Linked DNA regions of Lepisosteus oculatus. The protein of the gene in region 3 purifies or fractionates together with the protein of the main gene of each other region. This does not show direct contact. Links are inferred from orthologs where the notes say so. Each region holds a gene or a part of one and is shown on either strand. Other genes may lie near its edges.

What was found. Proteins that work in one complex are often made in the same cells at the same time.
Region 1: the proteins of clns1a (region 3) and epb41l3a purify together in Homo sapiens (affinity purification with mass spectrometry; 3 studies listed by BioGRID and IntAct, with this or other methods). This does not show direct contact. The link is inferred for Lepisosteus oculatus from reciprocal best matches to the Homo sapiens genes CLNS1A and EPB41L3.
Region 2: the proteins of clns1a (region 3) and wdr77 purify together in Homo sapiens (affinity purification with mass spectrometry; 6 studies listed by BioGRID and IntAct, with this or other methods). This does not show direct contact. The link is inferred for Lepisosteus oculatus from reciprocal best matches to the Homo sapiens genes CLNS1A and WDR77.

What each region holds. Positions count from the first base shown.
Region 1 is NC_090701.1:55,495,161-55,502,129, forward strand, and holds the start of epb41l3a (band 4.1-like protein 3a), read right to left. Parts: upstream 3,356-6,969; 5' UTR 3,238-3,355; intron 2,477-3,237; exon of another isoform or gene 2,288-2,476; intron 1-2,287. UniProt on the Homo sapiens protein: Tumor suppressor that inhibits cell proliferation and promotes apoptosis. Modulates the activity of protein arginine N-methyltransferases, including PRMT3 and PRMT5.
Region 2 is NC_090700.1:36,484,843-36,491,811, forward strand, and holds the start of wdr77 (methylosome protein WDR77), read right to left. Parts: upstream 3,373-6,969; 5' UTR 3,068-3,372; coding exon 2,968-3,067; intron 1,657-2,967; coding exon 1,471-1,656; intron 734-1,470; coding exon 592-733; intron 1-591. UniProt on the Homo sapiens protein: Non-catalytic component of the methylosome complex, composed of PRMT5, WDR77 and CLNS1A, which modifies specific arginines to dimethylarginines in several spliceosomal Sm proteins and histones.
Region 3 is NC_090700.1:9,908,013-9,914,981, reverse strand, and holds the start of clns1a (methylosome subunit pICln), read right to left. Parts: upstream 3,547-6,969; 5' UTR 3,206-3,546; coding exon 3,087-3,205; intron 2,544-3,086; coding exon 2,407-2,543; intron 580-2,406; coding exon 454-579; intron 1-453. UniProt on the Homo sapiens protein: Involved in both the assembly of spliceosomal snRNPs and the methylation of Sm proteins.

The DNA of each region.
Region 1 (6,969 bases), on a different chromosome or scaffold from region 3:
TGAGAATCTAAATTGTAACCAATAAAGCTGTTTTAAAACTTCTCCATTTATGATATCATCAAAAGAAAGAAGACAGACAGCAGCCTTACCGCTCTGTAACCTGATCTCATTAGATCTCGGAGGCTGAGCAAGGCTGGGCCCGGCCAGCACTGGTATGGTCGACCAGTCGGATTGCAACATTTTAACCTAAACCTTAACTGACAGGATGCAGCGTGCATCTCTAACTACTTATTAAATTCTAAATATAAGAACTCAGCCTTCTTATATCAGGATTTATTGAGAGCATCCTGTAATACGCCACAAATATAATTAAAAACAGAGCTGTGCTAGCTTATATTTGGTTAGAAATAATTGTGTTCTTTAGCTAATAAGATCTAAAATTACAATGTTTTAATCTTGATTTAATCTAAAGCAGATGATTTGAACCTTTTTAAGAGCTGATTCCAGAATAGTCCATTAAGTCAGGTACCTTCCCCATTCTTGTTGACACCTACGGTAAGCTTGTCTGTGACGGTGACTTGCCAGACTTGCTGTGTGCTACAGTCTGTATTATAAGCTTTGCACTATGGGAAGCACCAGAAATTCCAGCTTCCCCATTCTTAGAACATTTTACATTTTCATCTGTTCAAGGCAAACGATTAAGAAACCAAAAAATAAACTGACCGTGCAATTCCCCTCTTCGTTAATGATCTCAGCCTTTTCATTTTTTTTCTCCCTATCCCTTCGACTACTTACTCTCATCTGTGTTGCCACAGCGTTCAAGGACTGTGGAAATACCCGCCATGTGACATCAGCATTTAGGTCAAAATGAAACGTATTATAACGGAAAATAAACACAGCAGCACTTAAAAATAGGTGAGACCTGAAATACTAAGTAAATGAGTAGAACATTTCTTACAGATCTGAAATACCTATTTATTTATAGGCAGGTCTACAGAATAGTCAATTTAGCAGGACTTGATATGGAAATTATTTTTTTTTTAGACGAACCGAAGTAAAAGGAAAAAAAATGGGATATTAATATTACATGTTAATAGTACGCTACGGCTTTTTCTATAAAGATAAAAGTCCATCCGGATATTGGATTTTTTTCTTTCCTGTATACCTGGAAAAAAAAAATCAGATAAGGTCTTTGATCTAATTCCACAGCAACACAGACTGGCCCCGTTAATTTTTAATGCCGTTTTTGTCTCCCTTGTGAACACATTTGTCAGGGGCATTCTGTCAGCCTGCTTAGGTGCTGTAAAAGTACATTTGATGAATACACTCAGACCTTTCTCTCTGTGATAAATATAACAGGCATAGCTTCATTTCTCGGGAGGAGGACCACTAGCAACACCGTATGTAGTTATGATGGCCACTTACTTCAGATGAGTTGAAATGTTTTATAATTGACAGTACATGGGAGAACAGCCACCGTGCCCAGTGGCACAGTCTACGGTCATTAGTGAGCAGACGTGCGAGTTCACGTTGTTTCTGCCGAGCCTCAGGGTGGGCCCGAGAAGAAAGGAGGAAAACCATAAGTCAAAATGGCAAGCTGTCAGGAGGACAAATATTAGCCAGACCCTCAGGATCAAGAGACCCTTGCTGCTTAGATAAGAGAGACATCCACAACAAGAAACACTTTAAAATATTTCATCTCCTTTATCGAATGCAGCATTGCTTCCGGCGTAAAGATAACTTCTGGGTTCAAGCGTGTCGATTTTTTTTTTTGCACAAAACATTAACCAAAAAATTTAAATGTTTTGTGAATGACTTCGCAGAAAGAAGACCTCTATTCGCTCTGGTTTGCGTTGTAGGAGGTACTTCACCTTCTTAACCTGAAGCCAGGCTCATCATTGCAGTAAAATCAGAATGCACTGTATATATTCTGTACTTAGCAGTTGAAGGTTAACACTTTTCTAGTCTCCCCTTCATTAAAAAAAAAAACACATCTCGGGTAATTGATCGCTAGTTTCCAAGCAATCCACTCCAGCGTTAGAAAAATTAAGAGGATGAAATAGTTATCGATGCAATACAATTAATAAAAATTCTTCCAAAGCAACCAGTAGGGATTTTGAATGTGCATGTTAAAAAGTCACAAAAAAGTCCGTATAAAATCGCAACACCAAGGTTAGTTACGTGAAACGCTGAGTAACACACAGAAAAACCATTTCCATCAAAGCAAACGAGTATACTGTATTGCCGAGGCTGGAAAATTAATCAAAGCGCGACTTACAATATCGCCCGTCTCTCCGCCGATTTTCCCCTCATTTGATGAAAACCATCTGGTTTCCCGGAGACTTACCAATAACCGGCTATTTCGTCCAGACTGCTCCCTTGTTTTTTCACCGTACACTGGTAGCATGGAGTATTAGTGGCCGTGGGGGGGTCACGGGCTGTCACGACTGAGCGTTTTTCACACACGTACAGAGAATATAGGTGTGTATTTCTGTTTGATGCAAAAAATGCCAAGTCAGACGGGGGGGCGGTGGAGTGTGCTGTGACTGCAGAGGTTCACATCTCCCGGTTACTACATCCAAACCACACCCACCGCATTGCAGAACTAACACACAGAGCACCGCTGGGGTGTCGTGTCAGGTCTGAAGTGACCGAAAGCAGGAGAGTCGCACTGGACATCCGAGGCGGCGACTCGCGTACTTCAGCCACTAAAATACTGAAGCGAGCAAACGAGCTATAAACCCTTGCCGTTATTAGCTAAAACATCGTCTTCATTTTTTTTTCCTAACGGATACAAGAAAAACTTTTTCAAGTGCTCCGCATTGAAATAAACTCAGTGACCGGAGTCTCTTTTTTCCGCAAAATGAATTCCCTGCAGCTACTTCACAGCTTCTAAATGTATCAAAGTATCAACCACAGATTTTTCTTCCTGCGGCGACAACCTCGAGTGCACGGATGTATTTAAATAGCCACCGTAGACGTTAACGCAGGCACACACAAAAAAAAACGCACACGCAAACACACACACACACAATCTGGCACATCTAAAAGGAATCGCACTGATTTGCCCGAAGAGATTTATTTTGTGGGGAGAAAAAAAAACAGGACGCGCATACTGTATACAGTATCAGGGCGATGCATGCCCAGGAAATGTACAGTGTGCCCCCTTCCCTACCTCATTCCTGCAAACACAGCTACAAAAATTCTCGTTTTCGCTTTGACACTTTCGATGCAACACAACGTGAGCCCGCAGATCCCCCTTTTTTTTTTGCATACGATAAGTTGCTAGCTTTTTACCGGGTATCCCGTGTCCCCCCGCTCGGCTGATGAGGCTGCAGCTCAGTCCGCTCTCTGCTCGCCAGCTGTGTCACCGCCAGCGCCAGCGGGCTGAGCAGGAGATACGGGACAGCGCGGCATTCTGGGATACACGAGGACAGCCAGCGCACCCTCCGCTTATTCTAGCAGAAGATGCGGGAGCGAATGAGAGCCCACCTCCGGGATGAGTCACGGCCGGTACGGGCGACCCACACGCGTGTTGCAGGACCTAGCGGGGCGAGGGATGGCCACCGAAGTCACCCCAAAACGAACACGGCGCCGAAGCAGAGCAAACCCCGTTCGACTGAAAATACACGTAGACGGTCTCGAGTGGAACTTGGGATGCCCACTTCTCCCGAGCAGAATTATCTTGCTGGGCCAAATAAGCAGTTTAACTCGGGTTTTTTTTTTTGGTGAAATTTCCGAGAACTGAACGTCTGAAATTGGACATGATCTTCTTTCAAAAATAAAGATGTTCTTGAACAGATTTTCGGAGTCCTTTTTTTGTAATTCAGGGCAGCAAAGGTATATATTTTGGAACACGCTGAACGTTTGAATTTAAATTCGCTTAATAAGCTTTAACAGCTTTTGAAAAAAGTGTCCCTGGGTCAGTTTCCTGCACTGTGTTCCTGGCCACGATGGGTTAAAAGGACATATGTTATTTTAACAGCACCCGCCAGCTGCAGTGTTCATTCATGTATAATTAAACTCTTGTAACTAATTGCACACATTTAGTCTTCACAAATTCTAAATGAACCCTGGCAAAGGCAAAGAGCTGCTTAACTGACAAAAATTCCTTTCTGGGTTCTGAGTCTTGACGAACCATACCATGTATTCAGTATCGCAGCATACAGTACATTCTACTTGCATTTTTTCCATTATCCTGCATGCATTACATTGTATTCAATTTATAAATAATTAGGCATCATTAAGAATTCATTAAATATAATGTGAGATTTTTTTGTGTGTATAACAGGGTTCATAGAGTACAGGGGGCCTGTTACAGTGAAATTATGTGAACACCATGACTGCGACATCACTATGACAGCCTCATCTTACACAGCAGGACCTGTCAAACTCCCTCTCGCCAAAACCCGCAGCAAGCTTAGAAACTGATAGGCTCTTGCCTATCCACAGGTCCAAGGCATGGCATTAATGTAGTGTGTGGGGTTGAATCCCAAATCCTAGCTGCTGTCTCACGTACTTTCAAGTGCCTGACCTACACAGCCAAGATAAATGCTACATCCAGTACCAAAAGGCCTACACCCCTACAGTGGAGATCATTCAAATACTCGAGAAAGCTAGGGAATGACATGAAAGTGACACCCTCGTCTTCCACTGCAGCACCTGCTACAGTCACACAGTGTGGACAGGCCATCATGAGGACAAGATGACCAAATCCCAGTCCGAAAGCCAGCAGTCCATTCCAGGTAGAACACGTCTTTATGGCCCCGTCTTGAGAAGCACATGTACTGTGATATTTTATGCATCGAGTGCTCAAGCACACCACACAACCACACCTGCTGAGGTACCATCTTCCAGAACCATGACCATGGCGATAGGGGTTAGAAGGCACCTGAGAACTTTTATTTACTGGTGAGACATTACAGGTGCTACACAAGCTGCCAGCTGTGGTCCAGATCACACACGCCACACGACGACAGATTGCTATGCTTTTTCAGACCTGGTGTTCGCTACTGTGACCCTCAACAAGAGGGTAACTTCAAGGTTAAGTCTGAGCATGTGTTGGAGGCAAAATAAAATGCACTTCAATATATACTGTACAGTAAGTCATTCACAGCCATCCTGCCTTCCCAGCAAAGCTTTTACAGTGATATTGGGTGGATGGTGTTCATCAAGAAAGCCTGCATTATGGACTTCAGTGTTGCACTCAGTGCTGGTATCCTTCTTACTCTTGTGCGGTCACTTAAAACCAGTAATTACTCCCTATGCAAGTACAAATCATGTTCTGTAGCACTCTGTAAACTACAGTGCAAAACAGAAATATCCTTAAATGACTTTTTAAGGAAGAAAAAAAGTTGCTCTTGAAGGTTTCTATGTTAAAGCACTATAAGAAAGACTTGTGTATCTCCTAAACTAAACATTTTTTTAAACCAAGGGGAAGTATGGGTAATTTAATAGCAAGAAAAATGCACACATTATCTCTATGGATAACACCATATACTTCTGGATTCAAACCACATTCTTAGGCGGACCTCTGAGGTCCTGACCCACACAGCCCAGACAAGTGCCATTGTATTACAATAAAATACTGCTCCTCTCCTTCAGGGGGCTGGAACATTCTGGAGGAAGCAGAAGACTGAAATCACCACGATAATTTTATTTTACACCAGAAACTCTGCAACACACTGCTATTCTGAAATCAGTCCAGAGGAGTGATGCCCCATACAGTACATGTACATTTCTGATCACAAAAGAATGTCTTCCTCGGGCTATAAGAACTGAACCTTTTTAGTCTTGAACAAAGATCACAAGGGGTCCAATTCAAGTACTGAAAATGATTAAAGTAATTGAAGTCGATGACAAAGTCAACCAGCTGGACATCTTCAGAATCAACACTGAATCATGAACCGGGGGCGAAAAGTGACAACTGAAGGGAAGTGCGTTTACAACAGAACAGGGGCACTTTTCCTTACACAGGGGTGTAAGCTATAAAGATCCATGCTCAGTTTAAGATGCACGTTAAGCAATCTGAAAAACTGCTATAGGTTTACCAAACTTGCTTGTTTTGCCCCCCCATCATACTCTTTAGATCAGTTCACACCCATTCCATACCAGAAAAGTGCCTATCCCTTGGTAAGGAAAAATAAAACAAGCTGCCCAGCAGAAACACCATGGTGTCTGGAGGAGGGGAACTTCTCAGAGGTGGCATAAGGCAGGACTGCTCCAGGACAGAGCACCAGCCCACAGCAGGGCAAACTTGCGTGTGCACAGGGAAAGTGTAGAGACAACACTTACAGTAAGGCAGCATGTTTTAGGAAAGAGCAAAGAAACCAGAGCACCTAAAAAAAAATAAAAATCACACAGGCACGTGGAAAACGCAGTACAGATAGTGCCCTGGTCTGGAATCAAATCTAGGACAAATAACTCACTCTGGAAATAAAGTGACTTTGAAAATGACTAATACACAGCTTTCAGGGGTAGTCAGATCATTTCAATAGCTGCCCACATTGGAATCATCTAGGGAAAATGATCATTAAAATTCTTATTGAGTGTTTATTTAAGTCATGCAGAAAAAGTGTAATGAAGCTTCATGTTTTTAAACGATTCAAAACCAGCACCAACGAAACAAGCCGTTACTGCCACAATGTAGCAAATGTCACTGGGATCCTGAAGTGAAGAAATGAAATGGAGGACGTTAATTGATTTTCTTTTTTAATTTCTCAAAAAAACAGAAAAACATTAAAATATTTGGTTTGGAGCTCAAAGAGCTGACCTGCTCTTTCAGATGTTAAAGCTATGAGTCAGCTGCTGCGGTCCCTAAAAAGACCCACAAAAAAATCACCACATTACAAATCGAGGTCTTAGCAAAATCCATCTGGTTTGGAAGGTCCCAACATTCTTAATGCTTGGAGCATACTTCAGTATAAGAGATTCATTTGCTCTAAGTTGGTGCAATTCAGAAAAGTAGGTTTGTTCCTCTCATAGGCAATTACAGTAAGATGGTGACAACGTGACAATTTCGGCACTAGT
Region 2 (6,969 bases), about 27 Mb from region 3:
TCACTTAATCAGGTGATCTTTTAAATGGAGCAATTTAGAGATCACTGGAGACCAAATTCTGCCCAGAAGTCTCTCACCTGAAAAACCTACTTGCCTAACCGATCTACACATCAGATCTTAACTGATCTTCATGGTGTTCCTGACCTACAAAACGAACTAAAATGGGTTTCTCCAGGACCAGGGTTGGAGATGCCTGCCATAGTCAGTCACATTAACACTGTAATCTAACCGAACATCAGAGTCCAAACAGAACATTTTCTAACCTAATTATTTCTGGTGGTTATATATACAAACACAATGAGTACTCGCATTCTGTGTGGCCCTGTACACAACAGAATGTGTGTGTGTAAGGGATCAGGAGACAAACAGGAGGTCATATCCACTGTCCTAATATGGATGTCAACACTGCAAGTAAAAAAATCTGATTTACAGAGGTCTATTTCAAAGTTTTACTCTTTTATCAATTCCTACATTTCCATTTTTCTGCCACAACGCAGCACAATGGTCCTGCTCGATGGATTAAGGCCCAGCACAGGGCAGCAGGCACGAGCTCCTGGCTTTCAGAGAGCAGGCAGTGAAGAGCACACTGACCAGCAGTCCATGCTGCCACTGACCGCCTGTGTCCCCTGGGCCAGCGGGCTGACGGTAGTGACGATGTCGTCGTGGTGGTGGTGGCAGAACTTGCTGACGATCAGGGACTCGTCCTCAGCCAACTCCCACAGCTCCACCGCGCCTGGGACAACAGACAGGCAGACATGGAAGAGACCACAGTGTGTCAGCTCTCCACACACTCACAGCAGCACAGCAGTCGCCCCAGACACTTCAGTCATAGCAGGGATAACTAGTTCCCTCTCTCTCTCGTCACAGAAGCCCAGTTGGGTTCCCACTCCCTTACCAGAACATTAAGAGGACAATCGAACTATAACAAAACCTCAACCAGCCACTCACTGAATCATCAGCGCTCTCCTCGACAGAAACGACAGAACAAATCGCTTTCATGTTTCACTATCAGAACTGGCTTCAAGCTTCAGAGAGTAGGAAGATAATTTACAAGGGGGTGAAATTCTCCACTATATGGGGAATGAGATGCACCATCACTACTATATGGGGAATGAGAAGTAACAATGTAGCAGTTGCATTTTCAATTGCCATTTTCCTGCAAACCAACACTTCTTCAATTACCCCCCTAGCATTCACCAAACACCTTACCCCCTAGCGTTCACCTTCCTAACACTTAAGGCTGTTGCACCCAACAGTTTCACCCAATGAAGCCAATAACATATGGTATTTAAATATCAAATATATTATAACATACAAACAGATTTTCTCTTTGCTGGTTTAAAAGTAATACATTGCTTCTAGCCACCCTCCCATACACTCAGAGCACGACAAAGGCTGATCTCCAGTGCTGAGCCCAGCTGGCCCTGGTTACTGCTCTGCCACTCCAACCAGAACAACGAGGAAACTCACCGGAGTCCGAGCCCACGAGGATACTCCGCTCGGACACCCACTTCGCGTCCGCCACGCCGGCCTCGGTCTGCACCCCGGCGCTGCAGTGCCCCTCTTTCGGCGCCAGCTGGGGGTCCTTGAACACCCAGATGGAGCCCAGCCAGCAGCGCCCCATCAGGCTGGAGGCACTGAGCAGCAGGGAGCCATCTGGAGGAGAGAAAAACAAACGCCACAGCGTTCAGGGCAGAGGCACTCCAGGGAGAACTATCAGCCAGCTACTGTGGGAAAATGGGTCACTGCTCCACAAGGAAGAGCACACCAGCAGAAACTACGAGAAAGAGCATTTAAAATAGAGAAAGGGAGGCAATTCTTTAAGGCCAGCCACACAGCTGTGGTTTATTTCAAGAAATGGCTGGTAAAGACCCTCAGATTGATCGGGTTTCAGCAACCAAAAGCCTACATTTTCCAAATAAGTGTAACCTCTCTTATGTAGACGTACCAGGGAAAGGTTTAGTTCTGAGAAAGTACTGACGTCTACCTGCCTTGAGGCAATATCTCCTAATGGAAGCCACACTCCTTTACTAATAGAACAATTACGTTTTTAATTGATGTTTTATACCCAGATGCATCTGCCTAAGCACGTACTGAATTAAAGACAGGAAATGGACCTATCAATCCACTCCTCTGCCCGTAATCCCTTTCAGAGCACCCCTGTCTCCTCACTGTCCCGTTCTCAGCTGCCTGTAGCCTGCTGCCCTCTGTCCCTATCCCGTCACCTAGATATGCAACACCCCACAGTCCCCCCTTCTCCCCCCGGCACCCTGGGGGAGGAAACACCTAGCAAACAAAATGAGGTCTTTTTGTCTCAAAAAGAAGAAAAAGAAAGCCCTCCCCATCAACAGCTGACACGTTCCAAAATATAGGCTCTTCCGATTGCACTTATATCTGCGGTTATGCCCAGCTAGGAAGCAAATTTCTGTACCGGGCACTCGGATCGTACAAAAGCACTAGAACCACGCTCGTTTTCACACTACGCTGGCCGACACGACGGGACAGCTCTCCGGACCGCCGGGCGGGCCTGCGCAAACACAGCAGTCACGCTGTATGGCTTCTACCGCCGCCGACTACCCGGGTTTGTGGTCTCGCAGAGTTTTAACGAAAGATCGCATTCCGAGATAACCTGCGGCTCCTGCCAGATAGTAAGAGACATTGTGAACGGCGGCATAAACGTTCAGACACACGGCGGTTACTCGGTAATGTACAACAGGTTGCTACTACGAGAACTTTGATATCACTATGTTTCCTGTGCTCCTTCAATGCACAGTTGAACGGATAGCGTGGCTTTCATTAAAAATAAAACATACAGCCACTAATGGCATACGAAAACAGAGTGTCAGGTAAAACGTTATTTTGACCGGTTCACCGATACAATTAAAGACCCGAGATCAAACAGGCCACATGCACGCCATGTATAACCCACAGACGACACGCCAATTAAACACGTAATTAATGATTTACCTGCTCTGTACTGGACTGAGTCCAGATGTTTTTCCATGCAAGCCGGGGCATTGGGAGGTATTTTCCAGCGATTTTCCTTGATCATAGCTGTAGTATTCATTCACACGCGGCTGCTGCTGCTTATATCAATTAACACCAACGAACTGGATTTCCGTTCTTTACTCTCCTCGATTGCTCCTGGCTCCGGATTTTAGGTTCCACATACAACAAGGTGCCAAGCCCGATTTCCGAATCCACCTCCAGCAACCCTCTCCACTCCAGTCCTCCCTGCCGAAAAGGTGTCAACTTTACCCTGCTGACACGCTCACTCTCCTCTTTTTTCCCCCGATCCAGACCCGCGAATGAATGAGCCAGAACTGCCAAGGTCCATCCACCACGTGCTTCCGCTTCCAGGTCCCCCCTCTGCACCAGCCCTGCCTCCGCTGGCCTCGCTCTCGCGCGAGTACCGGTTGCTTGGTTACCATTTGATTTGCCGCCCCTTTCCGCATATAATCATCACAAAGTGCAGATAGAGTACTGCAGAGCTAACGTCGACCCTCTACAGGGTCTTATACAAATAAAACATGTCACGATTTTGATTTTTATTCCTAAAAACGATTAACTTGAATACTTATTATTTAAAAATGTTTATCCAAGAGTTTAGTTTCATGTATATTCCAAAGAATTACTGATCAAGTAAGCGCAACTGCGCCTGTACTTCCTAAGACGGTTGAGGAAGGCTAAGATATGTCCCCAGATCCTCACTAACTTTTACAGATGCACTCCAGAAAGCACACTGACAGGCTGCATCACAGTGTGGTATGGCAACTGCAGTGCTGCTGACCGCAAAGCCCTACAGCGGGTGGTGAAAACTGCCCAGTCCATCACTGGGGTTACCCTCCCATCTATCCAGGACATTTATGACAGCGGTGCTTGAGGAAAGCTCTAAGCATGATCAAAGACCCCACACACCCCAGCTACAGACTTTATGATCTGCTACCATCTGGAAAACGGTACCAGAGCATTCGGGCCCGGACTACCAGACTCAGAGAGAGTTTTTACCCCCGCACTATCAAACTGTTCAATTCCCAGCCTCTCTCACTCTCACTCTCACCTCACCTCTCACCTATGATCTGAACCTCACAGTGCCTTCTTCCTTTCTTTCTTTCTTACCAAAAACCCAAACACACATTGAAAATCTACCTCTACCATACATGTCAAAAGCTCACTCCCCATATTTTCTATCCCTTTATTTTATTCTGTTAATGCATATTTTTGCACATAACCTGTTACCTTTTTGTTGTTTAGCACATTGCCTGTTGTTGTTTTTTTGCACATCGTCTGTTGTTGTTTTTTGCACACTGCCTGTTGTCTCTGTCTTTCTTTTGCTACACAATTGTATTGTTGTTGTTGTTTTTTTCTCTTTGTATTACTTATGTCCAAGAGCTAGCTAAATAGCATTAAGTTATACCATATACCATGCTCATGTACAGTGAAAGATACATCATTTTTAAACACATTAGTAAATATTTTACCAAATTAATATTCATGTTATACACTTAATCAGTAATTCGGGAGTTAAGTGCTTTGTTCGCAGTGTGCATGAGTATAATGGACCATGTGGCGATATTTGTAACAATTATTTATCATTCTCAACTGTGTACTTTTACGTAACAATTTTGACAGTAATCGATCATGTGATAGACGAATCAATCTCGTTATGACAAGAATAACAGCTTCCCGTGCAGCCAGGCCTTTGAGCGATAAACAGCGGCATCCACCTGCTTTCGAAGTACGAAAAAACAAGTAATGTTCGGCGAATAGGCAGTTTTTCATCTGGTTATTGCATTTTAAACAATATGTTTAGCTTTTCAGATTTTTGAAGTTCCAAATAAAAGATTCATTATCAAATTACAGGGGCTAGGTATGCAACCACTTGGACTGAGAACTGATCAGTGAATATAAGACAGCAGAGATCACTGGGGGGATGTAATTAATGGAGTACCTGAGGGATCTGTACTTGGATTACTGCGGTTCCTAATTTGTATCAAGATTCTGGTATAGTCAGTGAACTATTGAAGTGTGAAGATGATAAAAAAAACCAGAAGAATTAATAAATACTGTAGAAGGACTTTTCTTAATGTAATTTAAGCCTGGGTTAACACCGGGCAGATAATGTTATTGTAGACAAGTGCAGAGTATTGTATGCCGGTTGCAAAAACGTAAATTATAGATACAAAATAGGAAACACTGAGCTTGAAAAGACATATGAAACTGCTTTAAGTATTTATATTGACACATCATTTACACCTCTTAGGCAAAGTGAGGAAACACAAACACAGAATATGTAGTTAAAAGCAATTTAAATCAATGGATATTATGGTACATTTGTATCATACACTAATAAGACCTAATTTAGAATATTATGTACTGATCTGGTCACCGCATTGCAAAGAGATAGTGACAGAGACAGTGCCATGTTTTTTGTTGCTGCAGTCTTTTGAATAAGATGTTAAACCAGGGTCCTGACTACAGTATGTGATGTCAATAGAGATCCCATGACACTGTCTGTAAAAGTAGAGCTTTTAACCCTTAATTTAAATTAACCCCAGTGCCCTGACTATATTCCACTATGGGCTGAATGATCTGGTCACAATTAAGTTCCTCCTTAGTTCAATTTCTTAATCAGTGTCTTATGTCTCTGTCTGATCTGTTGTGCAGTGGGGTTTGCTGGTACAAAATGGCTGTTACCCATCAGCCTAGTGGGTGGGAACTGTACTTATGTGTTAGCGTTTTTTGTAACTCAGGAAATGGTTTCAGTAAATGAGAATTAAATTAGAAAAAATGTCCATCCAGTTCCAGTCAGCCCATTTTTGAAGCTGATTGGTTCTACAGTGAGTTGGTTAACAAAACCATCCATCCATTTTCTAACTGCTTCTTCCAATTCAGTATTATGGGGCAGTCGGAGCCTAACCTGGCAAGCAGTGGGCAAAAGGTGGGGTACACCTTGGATGGGAGGCCAGTTCATCACAGAGCACACACAGATACACACACATACTCACTTGCACCAGGGCTAATTTCTCAGAAGCAAATTAACCTACCAGTATGTCTCTGGACTGCGTAAAGAAACCGGAGCACCTGGAGGAAACTGTATTGAACATGTAGATAACATACAAAACTCGAAACAGATATCACCTCAGGAGCAGGAGTAATGCTAAAAGCTGTGCCACAAGAAATTTGTCAACAAGCTGTAATCTTAGTGACCAAAGCCATGTAGTATTCCTGGTATCCACAAGAGAGCACCAAAGAACTGTTAATTTATCCTAACCCTCCCACCTTTGAAGCAGGCTTTCGACCTGAGTACATGTCAAGAGCTAGGGAAAAAAATGATATAACAAACACTTGAGGAACACGACGTGCAACTCAGAACTCCACTATGAAATGCAAATGAACCTGTATTTACTGGTGATGTATGCGTTGGGTTGCAATAGGTCACAGAGCTGCATTTTTATTCCTTTATTTGAAGAAGCAAATGTAATTCTACAAATCTGCATACTCAAGGTCACTGTGGAGTATTTTGAATTAAACAACACAAAGCTGGGACTGTTCAGTTTCCATGCCACGGCTAGCTGTCACAAGCTCACCCCTGAAAGTCTGTTGGTAATCCATTGCATTATTTTAATTGGAATAAGCTTCCTGTGTGCTGAGATAGACAGACAGATTTGGTGTGACCCACTGTTCACTGCTCTGTGATCAGCAGGCATTCGATTTTGCAGTTGATGTTGTCCATTTCCTTTGTGCAAATCTGGAGCTGACCTGTGTATAACCCTCAAAAAGAGTGCTTCTAGGGACAACAGGCGATGGTCAGTGAGAGGACAACGGGTCTCATTTTCAAGGCCTTTGACTTATACATGAACCAGCTGCTGTAGACAGCAGAAATAAACATAGTGTTGGCCTGTTTTCTTCTTAAAGAAATCTCTTTCTGGATTCTGTGTACTCTATTCCCAGTAACATAGGTGGTCT
Region 3 (6,969 bases):
TCCAGAACCCTATTCATGCAGTTTCCCACAGGCCTCTACAAACGCATCACCACCTCTAGTTTCAACCTTCTGACTATTTTCCTCAGCATTTTTTTCCCTACCACCTTAGTCTTCAGTGTAAATATTAGCTTTTCAGCATATATATTAGCTTTTCTCATCTTTGTTAAAGCATCCTACCCTGTACACCTTTCACCCTGTTTACTCAATCGTAAATCCTTCAAAAACTCCTTCCATAGTCTAACAGTTACATGGTATTTGCCGTTTACTGTAAACTAAAGTTATAAAGCACACCAGCTGGGACTATACACAAATTAATCTGCTCAGGGAAAAACACAAAAACTTTTTACCCCCCAAAAAACAAATTACAAACACTGACAACTACGTAGGCTATCATACGTACTGACAGGTTGAGCACCCGGCACAGCACAGAAGGGAAGATTTTTCCAAACTCACACGCCATCTTATCACTGGGAACAAATCGGATTTCTGTGATGGGGTCCGAGTCGTCATCGCTCTCATCGTCCTCATCCTCTCCTTCAGCTGCTTTCTCCTCCATCTGAGATTCTGTCACCTCTTCATCTAGAAAGGGATGAGAAAATCAAGCCAGGGCCATGCTTCCTCTACAGAGAGAGAGCCAAAGGGGTCTAATTGTACTTGCTGGCTTGCACTGCGCAGAGAGCCTAGAGCATGATCATTTTGGTCCGTCTGTCCTTCCAAATGGTTCAGGTAAAATTAAAACTTGGTTTAAGGAGTGCCGTTCTCCAGTGCCTGGAAAGGGAAGCGTCACTTTAAGAACTTTCACAGAACAGTACCGCAGGCAAGCCTCTCAGACTACTGGGACTCTTGTTTCTGGGAGACCGGCTTTGCACAGCTCAGATTCCACCACCATAGATGCACAGCTAACAGGCCAAACAAGCAAAAAAGAAACAAACTTCCTGGCCCGTGATCCAGTATAATTCATGTTAACTTCAATGGGTTTGACCAAGTGAACACCAACATGGCAGAGATGGCATTAAGCCAAAAGTGGGGGCTGGGGCTGGATTTAGATGAAAGGCACTGTTACTGTAGCTTGTAAAAGGCTCATGTAGCAGGCTTTAGAGAGAGCCCTTGCCAGTCTGTGCCCCTCAGTGGAAGGTATGTACAAGGCCTTATGATTTATGGCACTGCTTCGCTGTTCACTGAGGTAACATCCTGCTGATTGTTGCTAGTAGGTACCCAAAGATAGTGCAAAGTCAATGTGAAGCTTTTGTAAGTTCTTTATATTTGAATACAAAGAAGTCCTGCTTTCATTTAAATAAACTAAGAGTGAAATAATATCCAGTCAAAAAGAGAAAAGCGAAGTTTCTTCAGATTTCCTAGTGGTAATCTCCTGTATCCTTGTGGAAGTAACCAGACTAGGCATTTGCTAGTTCCTAAACAAATCTTTTCCAGCTACACCAAAATAAACATCGGCACTTTATGGCAGCAAACACAAAGTACAATACCAGCTGTCTAAAATGTAGCATCACATTCATTTTAATTTTATGTTATAGCTGGGTGCTACTTATCTGTGCTCAGCAGCTTCCAGGCTTATTTAAATGTCTTTCTGCAGTGGGGACTGGCAGGAGTCCCTGGGAGTAACAATGCGCTTTTATTTCAGCAGAGGGCTATAGAACGGGGTGGAAATCTGTGCGGGGCTGTTCAAGACAGCTTGAGACTGTACGACCCTAAGGGAAGAAAGAACGGTCTCTTTGCTTCTCTCATGCTTGGAACACCAGGAGAATAACTCTACAGCAGAGTGCAAGGCAGCATTGACGAGCACAGAATAATAAACGCAGCCGCCCAAGCCACCCACTGCTGTATTGCGATGCCTCCACAGCTCCACATATCTACCTGCGATATGGCCATCAAGGCTGGACTCGCCTGCATATTCAAAAGCCTGTTCAGTCAATAATCAGCATTTGAGGTGGCATGAAAGACCACAACTCTTTTCCTTTACTGCACAGGGTTTATTCCCCGATCTTCCCTTCAAACCGTTTTCAGGTAGTTACAAAAAAGAGTGCCATGCTGGTGCCAATTTAGTTCAGCCGCAATGAATGCACGAGTATGTTATCCAGAACCGAACAGGCACACTTTAGCCCTTCATGTGCTTGCTGGGCAGGACAAGGCTGTACTGTATTTTTTTTACACTATGTAGAATATTGATGGGCCTGGAGAAATAGGTTTATTGAATCCAATGTATTCTCAAGAGGGAGCGTTTTTCCTCCTCATAACTGTTCAAATCGGAGCAAATCACTAAACTACTTTATTCCAGCCCCCAACTTCAACTGTAATCCTTACGATTGCCAGTCGATCGTCCCTTTCTAAAGATTTTTTTTCTTAGTGTCAGCTGTCCCGTCATCATTCATCAACAGCACGCCGCCTCACCGCTCAGCTTGGCGTTGACCATGACGTACAGATGCTCCTGGGGATAGGCGCTGAGATCGCGGGAGATGGCGTGGAGGCTGATGGAGGGGTATTCCAGAGAGAAGCCCTTTCCCGACACGTCAAACCACGACAGGCGGCTGTCACAAAACACACGAAAAGAAAGACGGTGGCGGATTAGGTGGGTGCACACGCGAGTCACTCCCTACACCCCCAACGTCTCAATCGCGCCAACTGCATAGGAGTAGTCCGAAATCACAGGCAAAACCACGATGACGCGATCTTTGTCTGCGGACTCGCAAATGTTGTTTTTTTTTTCCAGAAAGACTCCGGAGAAAGTTTTTTTGGCATCTGCTGATGATGCATTTTTACTGCTGGCACAATCGGAGAGGACGATCGTACAAAACGACGCATCGGAAAGAGTTGGGGGTTTTCCTTCTGGCGAGGGGTGCTTGGCCATCACAGGTGTAGCGCGCTGTCACGTGTTTGACATCGCACACCGGGCAGTGTCGCCTTTCCCCCTCAGATACCTGTTGATCATCTGGAGAAGCAGGGTGAGATGAGGCAAGAACTTTTTTTCCCACCCTAAACAGGTTTCTCTTTCGCTTTTTACACACATCAAAGGGGCAGGCGAAAAAGAGTTTTCAGTTGACCAGTCCTAACCCGTGTGATAGCGCACTTACTTTTCTGCAACGTAGAGGGTGCCAGAGCCCAGCCCCTTGCCATCCAGCACTGCCGTCGTTTCAGCCTGCTGGTGCCTGACGCCTTCACTGGGAGGGGAGACGTTTTTCAGCAAAACCATCGTCTTAAGGAAAAGTGCCGCGCCTGACCCCCCGTTAAAAAACAACGACACAGAAACAGCCCCGCAGATCGCCGAGAAAAGCCGGCCTAAACCGCAAACGACAGCGAGAAATCCGATCAAGCAGAGGGCAAAAAAAAAATAAAAATAAAAACTGCGATTCAGTTTTCACTCGCACGGCTGTATTTATAACGAAAGGCTGGAGCAAAAGGGTACAGTCCTGGTCTGTTTGTTTCTCCGTAAAAGTCGCCTCACTCCCGCAGTCGCTCAGTGGAAAACAAACCCCATGCTTCTCTAGGCTGCTTCTCTTCCTCTGAAGCTATCCCCCGCCAAACATATGGGCAAGCTTGCCCTGAAGTCAAAGACGTGAGCACAGCGCCAAAGAACGGTACGATTATTTAATAGCGCCATCTACAGGACTGGAGTTTAGTTGCACAATTGAAGACCTTAGCCATCTTCATCGTTACTGATAACAATGATGGTTGATTAATATCAAGTATTGGAGCATTGGTGATACAGACATATCTTGAACATGTATTTCTTACATCTTTTTAGATCTCTCCTCAAAGTGATTAACACGAATTTGGTATTGCCTAAACTGTTTATAAAAAATAAAACCAAGGTGAGTCTGAAAGCAGTAGATCGCAGTTGATTAAGTGTATTTCATAGTCATCTTCACGGATGTGACGGCTTATGTGCAGGTTAGACTTCAGATAACAGCTCTGCTAACACACAATTTGTAGGAAACTGCGATTTGGGTACAGAGCCCATTGTCGCAAAGATGACAACTGGTTAAGGCTAAAGGTTCTTAGGTTAATTAACTTTTGTGTGCTTTAGAGGTCATAATAAAGATACATTTAGAACACGAAGCTCAGTGACTGGTGGAGATTAAGTCACAATTTTATTATTAAATTCCATTTATATAAATAAGCACGGTGCTGTAGTTCATATGATCTTTCTAGATTTCTAAACGAGAGTGCAGAACTCTGGTTAAATTGCTTTTTAAAACGCAATTGCACCAAACACTGCCGCTATATCATGGTGATACTCTCTTTGTATCATGGTGGTATGTTTACGAACTGTATGTTTACCACCGCCCCAAAATTGTTTTAACAAGGAAATTGTGACAGAATCGAGTACAACATTACCTTGTTTTTAAAAATCTTGGTGATGACAGAATGATGAAAGGGTACCAGTTGTAGAAATTGCTATTGCTGTATGAATGGATTATCGCAAAAAAAAACCGTAATAACAAAATACCGCAAAAATTGAATACTTGGGGATTTTGAATCAGCTTTGTAAACAGACATACTGTAGGTTTGAGCTCACCAGAGTGATTTATTTTTTAAGAGATCGTATATTTCCCACAGACGTAAAATTCAATAAACATCGCTACCCGAAACAGATTGAAGTCTAGATTTAATACTTCTCTTATGACATCCACCGGGTTTGTAACGGTAAAGTAATTGGATGTGAATCTTCCGATGTTGACTTCCTACACAATGGAAAATATATAATAAAGCAATTGGCAGAGGCAGATACAGTACGCCTTTGTATTTTCGATTTCATCATTATAAAGCTGCTGTTTTCATACTTTGTGAACTTGATTCTACCGTCCTCGATTCCAAGCGTTACTTAAATGACACATAAAGCTACTTTAAAATGTCTTTTTAATGCTCGAAAAGAAGTGGCTGAAAACGCTTATAGCATCTATTGTTAACAGCAAAGACACTGCCCTCTGATTTTACTATCTGGCAGTAAAATTCACATACACATTCATTGAAGATACTTAAAGTGCAGAACCAGTACAGTCTTATAATAATAATAATTGCTTACACTTATGTAGCGCTTTTCTGGACACTCCACTCAAAGCACTTTACAGGTAATGGGGACTCCCCTCCACCACCACCAATGTGCAGCATCCACCTGGATGATGCGACGGCAGCCATAGTGTGCCAGAACACTCACCACACATCAGCTATCAGTGAGGATGAGAGCAGAGTAATGTAGCCAATTCATAGATGGGGATTATTAGGAGGCCATGATTAGTAAGGGCCAATGGGAAATTTGGCCAGGTTGTTACACCCCTACACTTTTCGAGAAACACCCTGGGATTTTTTAATGACCAGAGAGTCAGGACCTTGGTTTTACGTCTCATCCGAAAGACGGCACCTGTTTACAGTATAGTGTCCCCATCACTACACTGGGGCATTAGGACCCACATGGACCACAGGGTGATCGCCCCCTGCTGGCCCCACTAACACCTCTTCCAGCAGAAACCTTAGTTTTTCCCAGGTGGTCTCCTATCCAGGTACTGACCAGGCTCACACCTGCTGAGCTTCAGTGGGTTGCCAATTGTGAGTTGCAGGGTGATATGGCTGCTGGCTTAAGACAAAAATAAAAACCTACACTGGGAATTTTGCTGTAATATAGGAAACTAGTTAAGGCAGACAGGATGAAGCTTTTTATGACAAATTTACAAGTTTTATTTATACGAAAGAAATTACAGCAGGTTTAACAAAACGCTCTGAAAGAAAACAAAGAAAAAATGTTACACAGACTAAGGCCTGGAGCTAACATCTACGGCCAATGGCCTAGCTTATACACAAATATTTGACCAGACTGTAGTGAGACAACACTAAACACTTAAAAATATTGGCACTGATTTTCCATTATTTTATTTAGACCAACAATAATTGTGGAATTAAAGCAACAGAAGACCTATTTAAAATCTTGAGAGCACACAACATGGACTCAATTTAAAGTATCAAAAACAGTATGTTGGAGAAACTGCATGTACATCTTTCTCACTCCTGATAATTCAGTATTTTCTCAAATATTTTTCTCCAGCAGAAGGCAAGTCCCTTGCAAAAGGCTTTGATGGACATGAGAATGCAAAGCCTAAATATGACCGGGCACTATGTTCAAATGCTAAAACGAGGGTAAACAAATTAATTCAGGTAGGTAGCTGCGTCAGCATGCGTAGGCTGCAAAGGAAAAAGTAATAGGTTTATTCCATGCTGAAAAAAAGAAGAAAGAAAACTTCAAGAAGGTTCTACGGCCGAAAAGTTGTTTTCTTTCTTCTTTTTTTCAGCATGGAATAAACCTATTACTTGTTCCTAAACAAATTAATGGTAAGGTTGAGATATTTTAAAAAAAAATCAATTTTCCTTTTATTACTAACAAAATGTATAGTAAGCGCAAGACATACTATATAGTTTACAAAATATCTCTTGGTAAATTGCTGTAGTTACTCAGAAAACATGTAACAAGCACACTACTTAAGATCATTTTTGTCTAAGCAGTCGCTTTTGTCTTCAGTCACTTGGAACATGTCTCGTACATCTGTCAAAACACAAAATGATACATCCCAGACATACAACAGAGTATGTTTAATCTTTGCACTCAGATATTCTTCATCACTACAAATTCTGTGTAACTTGGTTTAGTATTATCTACACAGTTCGGTACCAAGAAATGAGATGTTGCTGGATACAAGTTAGGGAAAAGGGTGCAGGTCTGTGGGTTTAAACTCGAACCCTCAAGCAAAAAGACTACTACTGTCTGCAGGATGAAATCAAACACCATGCTGAAACTTTTTACATTACAAAAGTTGTGCAAAATATCACAACCCGCTACAAAAAATTATAAACAGTAGCAATTGTAAAGAATTGCTTTATATACCTTTTCATTATAAAAAAAGCTTCTAAATATGTTACAGCATAAACTACAAATATACACACAATTAAGAGATAGATATCTTTTTT